Linked DNA regions of Nothobranchius furzeri. The main gene of each other region encodes a partner of the protein of the gene in region 2 in a complex. Links are inferred from orthologs where the notes say so. Each region holds a gene or a part of one and is shown on either strand. Other genes may lie near its edges.

Region 1 (4,607 bases), on a different chromosome or scaffold from region 2:
AATAAGAATAATAGTTTTATGAGGTATAAAAAAACTGTGATGTAAATGGAAATTGTCACAAAACCTCAGAAGAAGAACGGACAGATTTTTTTCGCAACAGACACGTTTTCTCCTGATTTCTGGTCCTACGTGTCTGAACTGACCTGAAACACCAGCTTAGTCGTCTCCTCAATCCATGTAGTCTGGTCATCATTCAGAGCACAGCTTGAGCTGTGTCAAGAAATCAAAAAGCATAAACATGAACTAATTCCATCCCAACAAGTGATATTTGTTTAGTTGCACAAATGTTCACCTTTTGAATTTGACCTGACCCTTCAAGTACTGGAACAGGATCAGGTACTGCACCAGTATGTGTCTCCGGAAGTTGCTGTCGCTGAGCTGCAAGTCCATCAGCTGCAGATTACAAAAAAAAAAAAAATCCCAAAACAATGAAGTTTAACTTTTAAGACAGAAAAACATATGACTTACAGCCATAGTCAGTTAAAAACTGCTTATTTATACATGATTAAAAGATTTTTAATGATTTTTCTGCACCTTTTCGCTCGTGAGAAACTTGGCAAAGTAAACCTGTTCACCATCAGACGCTCGCAGCTCCTCCAACTTCCTCTTTGACGCCTGCATGTCATCCAGTTTGTAGCTTTTGAACACAGCAAGAGTCTCATCGGAGTACTGAGCAAAGCAAAAGCAACACACAAGTTTATTTATTTTTTTATCCTCATCTTGGATATTGACAGTGATCCGTCAAATTGGTCAGAGTTGCTGCACCGAGGTGGATTACCTTAACAAAAGTAATCCATGAGATTTTTTCATAGCACTGCAACGGATTTCTAAAGTAGTCCTGCAATGTCCAGAACTTTCTGTACAGGTTGTAGTCAATCGGAATAGAACTAAGGAACAAAAGGGTACTATTATTTCATGAAGGTGAAAATGTGAGCAAATACAGCAAATGGTTTTCATTCACCACGGTGCCGGGGCGTCATCCTCCCCCATTTCTCCTTCCTCCACTTCCATGCCGTCTTCCTTTTCATCAGCGTGCTGTCAACATAGTAGCAAAAAAACAGATGAAACAGGATGGAAAGGATGAGCTCATTAACCTAATAATTAACCTAACAATACTTCACCTTCTGACCAAGAGTGCTTTCTTGTTCATTTTTATTGAACACGGTTATGTTGTCCAGATTAAACTGGCTTTGTAGATTGAGACCTGGATTAAAACACACACAAAATCTATTTAATTGAGAGGTTTACAATATGATTGTAAAGTGCTTTGATTTTTTTCCCCTTCAAGTTAGAAAAATAACTGACTTTCTTACCGGATTTTTCAGACAGAGGAAAGAGACGTGCCAGGAAAAGCTGGATTCTCCCACAGAATACTGTATTCTGGGATTTCGACAGCCTCCTTAAAAGATCTGTACAGATGAAACAAAAGTCACTTGCACCTGAACTTTCTGAGAATAGAAAGTCTTTTGGATGACAGAGAAAAAGACAAGATTTTTACCGTTACACATTCTCAACAAATAGTTCTTTCCTGCTGTGTAAAAAGAGCTCTGGAAGAAAGAAACAACACAGGTACAATAATGAAACCTTCTAACAAAAACAGAGAAATATTTTTGTTGCCTTTACAAAAAAAAATGCCTGTAATTATACCGATTTCCAGGTAGAGACATTTTCTTCAACAAAAGAGAATATTTTGTCACACAAGTCAAGGGGAAGGCAATCCAGAACGTCTCCCAGCAGGACAAAAGGAGTCGTAGCAGAACAGATACCTGCATTAAAAACAGAATAAATGTTACACTGTCATTTGTTTTAAGAGACGTTTTACCAAAACTTATATCAAAGCGATCCTTTCAACATGTATGTTTAAAATCCAAAATCATCTAATCTAAAATAAATATCCACCTCAGCAGTAGTGATAACATACCCTCAGTAACAGCATTGATGCTCTGGTAGATTAGAGACAGATAGTCATCACAGCATGATTTCTGCTCAAGCTAGAGAGAAACAATCATTAGCGATTCTCACATATTTTCAAATTTAAATTAACTAACTTATTAAACTTACAATCTGGTCACCAAGAACACTCCTCAAAGCCTGATCCAGTGTGGTCTTCTTTTCCGTCTCACTGACAAAAACACACAAGTAGTAAATTTGTATTTCTGGATTATTTTGATCTGGAACCTCGACCCAGGAGCACAACTTACTTGCCGGGGAGTTGGTTAAACACGGCGATTAGGGGTTTGCAGGTTTTACCAGCTAGTGCTTGTGTGCTTGCAGCCTACGGTTGGGTGAGCATGGGAAAGGACATAATGAGAAACAAAAGACGATGCAGAAGTTTGCTTCCGTTTTCAAGCTTCCGATTCGGGAAATGGCTAAGGCCAAGGCCACTCTCAATTTTTATATACGGTGACCATCTTTAATCTGCTTCATCTTAAAAACTACAATACCTAGACAGTTCAAACCTGGACGGGATTATTCTAGACTAATAGCAAATTCCATAAAACAGTTTGTGATTTGTGAAACTTCAAAATCTGCCTATTTTAAGTTTCACAAATCTGAAAAAGGTTTCACAAATCACAAACTATGCTTTATGGAATCTGCTATTAGTCTAGAATATTCCAGTCCCGGTTTGAACTGTCTAGGCATTGTAGTTTTTTTAAATAGAGCAGATTAAAGATGGTCATAGTAAATAAAATTGAGTGCAAATGCTCTTTAGCCAATTTCCAAATCGGAAGCTAACTTCAACCTCGTAAACAACAGGACCGTTCAGAAGCGTTTACTTTAGCTTAGCTTCTTTGGCTAACTACTACACTAGTACAACAAGCACAACCATAAAGTAGTGAAGTTAAGATTTTTTACGGTTTTATCAACAAGTTGTCTTACATACAAATATATTATGGATGGAAATGACAGAAAGAAGCCACTTCTCACCGAAAATTTCTCTTTAGCGTCGACAAAATTAAATGAGGACAGAGACATCTTTACGCTTCTGAAACCGGAACCGCCAACGAATCACTTCCGGTTATGAAGTGGCGTTTTTGTACGTAAAGGGAATTATCTGACAAAATTATACATTAATACATATTATCTATAAACGGAGTTAGGATAAAACTAACTTTGTATTTTTTAATTTAGTTTCAAATAGTTCAGTCAGTCACATTTTTATTTCCATTTTGGATGAAAAATGGAAATAAACCGTAGCATAGCAATCTTGACCACACGATGGCAGTGTTGTACACCATTGTTGCTGTTAAAGTTTTTCATTATTTTTTAATTTGCTTACATTCATCAAACTCTGAGTGGCTGTAAGTGATGGATGCATGGAAACCTTCTTCAAATGGTGAGTTAAAATTAGTATTTCTACTTCCTGAAAATAACAGTATTAATATTTATTTTAATCCTAATTTCCCCACTGTATGGTTTAGTTTGCCTTTTGGCCAGGACTCACTTAAAAAAATCTTACACTTGATTTTTATTTTAAAGAGTCATGTTCCAAACTTTCTTTATAATAATAATTACAACAACAACAACAACAACAATAATAATAATAATAATAATAAGTTGTGTCAGCCATTGAATACTTGTAAAATAACGTCACTCTGTTTATATTGTATGCATTTCAAAGTTATATTTATTTTAACGGAAAGAGCGAAATAATTTTTGTCCTTTCTTGTTAATAAATATTTGACTTTGACAGGTCACAATGCACAGCAGTTGTAATGTGTTTGTTTTGCATGTGTGCCTGTCTTGGTGTGCACTTCCACATGTTCTAATCATGCAAATGAACATTCAGCTATGTGCTGCAGGCCTTGAATCCTTTGATACCATCTGCTTGTCTAACAATGTCCGATTTGACATTAGAATAACCGCTCCATTACCCTGAGACAACAATCATTAAACTAAAGATTTACTCAACCCATGTGAGAACACTGAAGCTTGTTTTGATCCAGGTCAAGACCTCTAGGATTTACATACAAGGATGATCCTTTTCAGCTCCTTTTGATGGGTGTTTGTAACCTTTTTGTGACAGTGTTTTGGTGGCTGTGCTGATGTTAAGAGAAGAACAATGACTTTGTGAAGTGGAGGCGTTTAGTGTCACATGGAAGCAGGAGAGGCTCTATTTCCTTCACGTGTGTGGTTGTAGTGTTCATGAAAAAGGGAAGTGAGGAGTGATTTACTAATACCTATTTTCTCCCATCCCTTATCTTACTCAGAGTTCATCAGATTGTTGCCAAAAACTGATGAAGAGCAGAAAGGGAGTAAGCACGATGAGAAACTTGGAGATTGTGCTGGGAGGCACTCTTAAAAGTGATTTGTGCGTGGTTTGAGGTTGTGATTAGGGCAAGAAGATTGAGAAATCTTCTACATTCTACCTAAAATGGGTGATTTAATTAATTAATTAAATAATTTATTTATTTTGTTCAATTAAACTTCCCTAGATAATTTGTTCAGCTTTTATGCAACGAGTTTTCAAAAATATACCTCCAATTGCACCAAAAAGTAAAATGAACAAATATATTTAGGTTGCATGCTGAGGCTTAGTTCCATGTTTGCGAGGCACGCTCATCCCGCTGTCCGTGCCTGTAACTTCTACAACCTTTGACATAGTT
Region 2 (4,580 bases):
GTTGATGATGAAGAGAAATATACAATTAGTTCCTTGTCATTGATTTGTTTACTTATTCAATGCCATTTATACTTGAACATTTGGATTTGATTACATAGTGTAGTAGTTATTTTAGTAATTTGTTTAAAGTTGCTATTTATTTTAAATACATATTTTTTTTAAGGTTGACTTGTACAGTGCTCAAGTCAAGTGTGGACTGGAGTTTTAGATTTTCATTTTGATAATGAAGAAAACAAGTATATGAGAAAACAAGTGGTGTTTATTTGATTTGTTGACATATTGTTTATGTTTCGAATGTTTGGATTTGTATAATTTAAACCTGCACTGACTACTGTAACATGTTCCAGAAAAATAAGCTATTTGTTCTTTACTTGTGAAAAGTTGCACTTTTGCTAAGGCTTTGTGTTATTTTAGGTTTAATAAACACTGTTAAACCTTTTCAGAACTATTTCAGTTTGTGTAGAACAGGACTATCAATGCTTTCTGAACATATGCAACACCGTTTAAAAAATACCGCGATAATACCAAAAACCGTGATAATTTTGGTCACAATAACCGTGAGGTTAAATTTTCATACCGTGACAACCCTAATTTTAACAGTCAACGGTTAACTCCTAGCTTCATGTTAGCTCAGTTAGCTCATAGCTATATCGGTTCAGAGATTGATGGGTGTCAATTATTTGCTCCCACCCTCACAGCTACACACTCAGCTCCAGCTCTTTGCCCATGTTTTTTTTTTTTTTTTTGCATTTGGTGGTGGTGACAAAACAAGTTAAACGGCCAAGATGGCAGTGTGGGAACTGCCCATTTTGTTTCAAACAAGCCCTTAAGAAAAATATAGGTGACATCACAGATGGTTAATTCTTTTTTTTTAAGTCATTGGAATGAACACCAAGCAGCTAAGTAAAAACTGTTACAAAGTGCCTACCCCTGGGAAGAAGGGTGTCAAAATAAATTTTAATTTTTAGTTATGTTGGTTTATAAGAGGGAAACTTTTACCACAGCTTGTCTATGAAGTGGTGTGTTGGTTCTACGTAATGTTTCTACGTTTTCACACAAAAATCAAGCTCTGCTTACCTTTGATTTCACTTCCATGTTCACTTTTCTCTGTGAGCTTTTTGCAGAGTTGTACACTACAAAGTAAAAAAAAAGAGACAAAAATATAGTTACTATGTCTGTTACCTTATATATGGCAATAAAAAGCTGTTTTGCAGCCTAATAAATAAACTTCTAAAAAGGAAGACTACACAAACACACAGAGATCTGTTTAATATAACAAAAAATCCTTTAGTTTCTGCCTTTAATACACCGCCAACCTCTAATAATATATATTCAGTCAAGAAAGGTGAATGAAAAATAGAAGTGCTTAGGTTTTGGGCATATGTGTAATTCAGCTAAGCAGTATAAACCTGTGTACACAGAGGTTTCTTATGTAGTTATTTGATGTTGCTCTAGATTGACTGTAACTTGATGTGAAAGCATTTTTAAATGTTGTAATAACAAGTCAAATATCAGCTTTCCATATAAATTGGTGAGTGGGTAATTGTATTTTTCTTTCAAACACTTTTAACAAAGATAAATGTGATGTTTTATTTCAAAATGAATCATAGCAAACACTATTACACTGGGTGAAGAATGACTGAACAAAATAAAGTCTCCATTATAATACATTTAACAAAACAAAACAAAGTAACTTAGTGATATGTAGTTTCTATGCCAGCTTGTTGATTCTTTGGTTCCTTTAAACCAGTTTTGCTTGAGTCCAAAAATGTTGGTCTTGTCTTACAGATGATCACCAGAACAATGTGATATTACATCTGACCAAATTAATATCAATCTGTTTTATTCAATCGCCTTAACTATATATTATTAACCAGAAGCTACTCAATTTCATTTCTCTGTATAACTCAATTTAATTTCTCTGTAAGTCTTGCACATGTGGTAGAATTGACAATAAAACTGACTTTGACTTTGACAGACACAACCATCATAGTAGTTTGGTAGGTCTAGTGCTTCTAGGCCTGTCTCGATGCAAGGCCTATAGTAACTAGCAGCCAGGAATGTGTGGATCAGCTTACGGTGTGACTGGATATGCTTAATGCTTCTGCTTAATAAAACACATTCAAACACTATTCACGGTTTTTTTTTAGGTAATATCACAGGTCAAACTTTATTATTGAGGCCCAGATGTTGGCCTGGTCTTTACTCAGTCTCCGACGCTAACGCAGACGTTTAATCGATCAGAAATACAAAGTTTGATAAAATCCGATCATCAAACATTGCATCTTTTCATTCCCACGTCCAGTCCAAATACAGAACATTTAACACGTCGCTTCACCCAAAAAAAATCTGCGGCTAACATTACGGCTAACTAGCTGTTACGATCCGTTGTTTCCCTCCACATGATTGGGTCAAAGTTATAAAACATAAAACTATTTTATTGTTTTCAAACCACTCGTGGGTTTGCTATTGCATGGTACCTGAGCGTTAATACGAAGTTTTATCAAGTTTGTAGCTGAAAAAGATCCAAATAACAGATAGATTTTTTACTAGCTTAGCTTCGATAGCCACCGTGTTTACAAATCTAGCCAGACCATTAATATGTAGATAGATAATAACAAGCCAGTTAATGTTAAATGTTACGAATTTTGTAATATGCGTTTGACTAATTACACGCCTAGTAACATTTTTTATTTTTGTTTACTCGACAGTGATAAGCCTCTTGAGCTGTTCGCTAACGTTACTTTGTGCTAGCCATGATTTTAAAGTAAGCTTATTGTTTTTATGTTGCTGCAACCCCTAAACAAACTAAGCACAACATAAAATCTACTTACAACTCGTGTTTTCCCAATTTTTCCCAGTTTTTGATCCATTCACCAGGGAGGGTAAAAGACGCCATCTTCAATATACTCTGCCTGGTGTTGTGCCAAAAAAATTCACCCGTATCGTGAAAAGGACCCAAACAAGGGAAAAACATCACAATCAGTTTCAATCACAAATACATTTATAAGAAGTCACAAACGGGTTAGTGTTGTTTTTCTGCGATTAACAGAACAGTTAACTTACGTTATTTATTTTGCTATTTTTATAAAAGGCTTTAAAATCTCCTGGTCAGAAAAATAACTACCACGAAACACTCTTTTACGTGTATATCGCAGTTATTTTCAAAATAAAAATGTTTTTCATAACAGCAGTGAAAACCAGGAGCCAGTTCATCACTGCTGACCTCAAGTAAAGTTAGTGAATGAAGTGGTTTTCTACGTTTCTTGCTACGGCCATGCTTTCTACAGCAGGGGTGCTTTTTTCGGCACAACACCTAAAGTGTGGTTCATCGTTGTGATGGCACACAGGTTCAAATGTGATGTTAGCTGCCGCTGTTGCTAGCTCGGTGCTACTCGTTGGGATTGTTCAGAGCTGTGTCCACACGAGTTTCCTAAATGGTTTACTATTGCCAGTCATTATTGTTTTATGCTTAAAGTTTAAAAAGGTCAATTTGAAGCGTTTTCTACAAAAACTACTACTTCTGCAAGCAAGAGGGGAAAATGAATGTGTTACTAGCATTTGGCATTTTACAAGATGTGAAAGTGTGTTTTTAAATGACAACATTTTTCTACCTGTCAAAGTCACAAGCTTCAGAGGGTTTATTTGGTTATGTTACATCTTCAGACATAAATACAAATCTTCAAGGATGCAATGGGCACTTTGTAAATAGAAGAGAAACACAAAAAAATTTTAAAATATGTATAAACACAGATGTATGCACGTTTTCAGCAGTTTGGTGAAAACAAAGATCCAAAGTGACTTGAGTAAACATTTGCAGGCATCTAAGATGCATAATTAGTCTAATTTGCCGTACAAGAATACTTTACAGTACTGTAGTAACGTTTATGACCATGTTGGGATTTTCTTTACAGTGACATTTGGAGAAAATTAGGGTTCTGTTATAGCTACAACATGAACATCACCTTCTATAGTCTGAATTATTAGCCAACTAAGGCAGTACACAAAAGAAATTCTAATAAAAATTACAACAATCCAACAAAAACAAGCTACAGTGGATGCATACTTTCAAATTAGTGGGTTAATGTTAAGGTAACATTCAGCTTTTTACTCAACTTATAAAATAATCACCCATTCATAATATATTACACGCTTAATATTTTATAATGAACAATTCTGAGACACAGATAACCAAATGAGTTTGGAATCGAACATGAATCAGTGGGGAAACATTTTCATATAAATCCTATGCAAAACTGAAAAAACAACTTAATTAACCATTTTCAAACCATTTTTTTTAAATAAAAATGTGAACATGGTATGGTTGTGTTACTATTTTAATATACAAAGAGCAATATACTAGAGACAGAGTTTTATGTATGGCATTGTAAATGCTTCCAACAATAAAATATTTTTAGATGCACACTGATTAGTCATGTGACTCTATTTGAGTAATGCATTACCTTTGCACCCATTAATAATAGAAGAAAATAAAAACAGATGACCGCATCTGTAGTAACACCATTCCGTTTTCATTAAAAAGGATTATTTCAGTATCTATGTGAAATAATATGCTTAGA

The links.
Region 1: the proteins of thoc2 (region 2) and thoc1 are in contact, whole or in part, in a cryo-EM structure (PDB 7ZNL), measured with the Homo sapiens proteins. The link is inferred for Nothobranchius furzeri from reciprocal best matches to the Homo sapiens genes THOC2 and THOC1. Residues at the interface, in NP_001075019.1 of Homo sapiens: Leu155, Phe156, Tyr157, Lys158, Gln160, Asn163, Leu164, Leu165, Arg166, Asn169, Glu170, Ala173, Lys174, Ile176, Ala177, Gly180, Gln181, Asn195, Lys197, Ser198, Leu199, Ile200, Gly201, Cys202, Phe203, Asn204, Leu205, Pro207, Asn208, Arg209; in NP_005122.2 of Homo sapiens: Asn134, Arg138, Asn141, Leu144, Arg145, Lys149, Thr153, Cys156, Gly157, Gln160, Leu161, Ala164, Arg165, Phe167, Gln242, Phe245, Arg246, Tyr297, Ala299, Lys300, Phe301, Arg319, His320, Leu323, Gln324, Ile327, Tyr331, Arg373, Phe374, Lys376.

Annotation. Positions count from the first base shown.
Region 1 is NC_091751.1:49,147,733-49,152,339, forward strand, and holds the start of thoc1 (THO complex subunit 1), read right to left. Parts: upstream 3,026-4,607; 5' UTR 2,977-3,025; coding exon 2,929-2,976; intron 2,276-2,928; coding exon 2,202-2,275; intron 2,123-2,201; coding exon 2,062-2,122; intron 1,992-2,061; coding exon 1,922-1,991; intron 1,767-1,921; coding exon 1,648-1,766; intron 1,548-1,647; coding exon 1,499-1,547; intron 1,410-1,498; coding exon 1,314-1,409; intron 1,205-1,313; coding exon 1,122-1,204; intron 1,036-1,121; coding exon 962-1,035; intron 888-961; coding exon 779-887; intron 670-778; coding exon 535-669; intron 394-534; coding exon 293-393; intron 211-292; coding exon 144-210; intron 1-143. UniProt on the Homo sapiens protein: Component of the THO subcomplex of the TREX complex which is thought to couple mRNA transcription, processing and nuclear export, and which specifically associates with spliced mRNA and not with unspliced pre-mRNA.
Region 2 is NC_091750.1:48,346,551-48,351,130, reverse strand, and holds the start of thoc2 (THO complex subunit 2), read right to left. Parts: upstream 2,968-4,580; 5' UTR 2,900-2,967; coding exon 2,835-2,899; intron 1,134-2,834; coding exon 1,078-1,133; intron 1-1,077. UniProt on the Homo sapiens protein: Component of the THO subcomplex of the TREX complex which is thought to couple mRNA transcription, processing and nuclear export, and which specifically associates with spliced mRNA and not with unspliced pre-mRNA.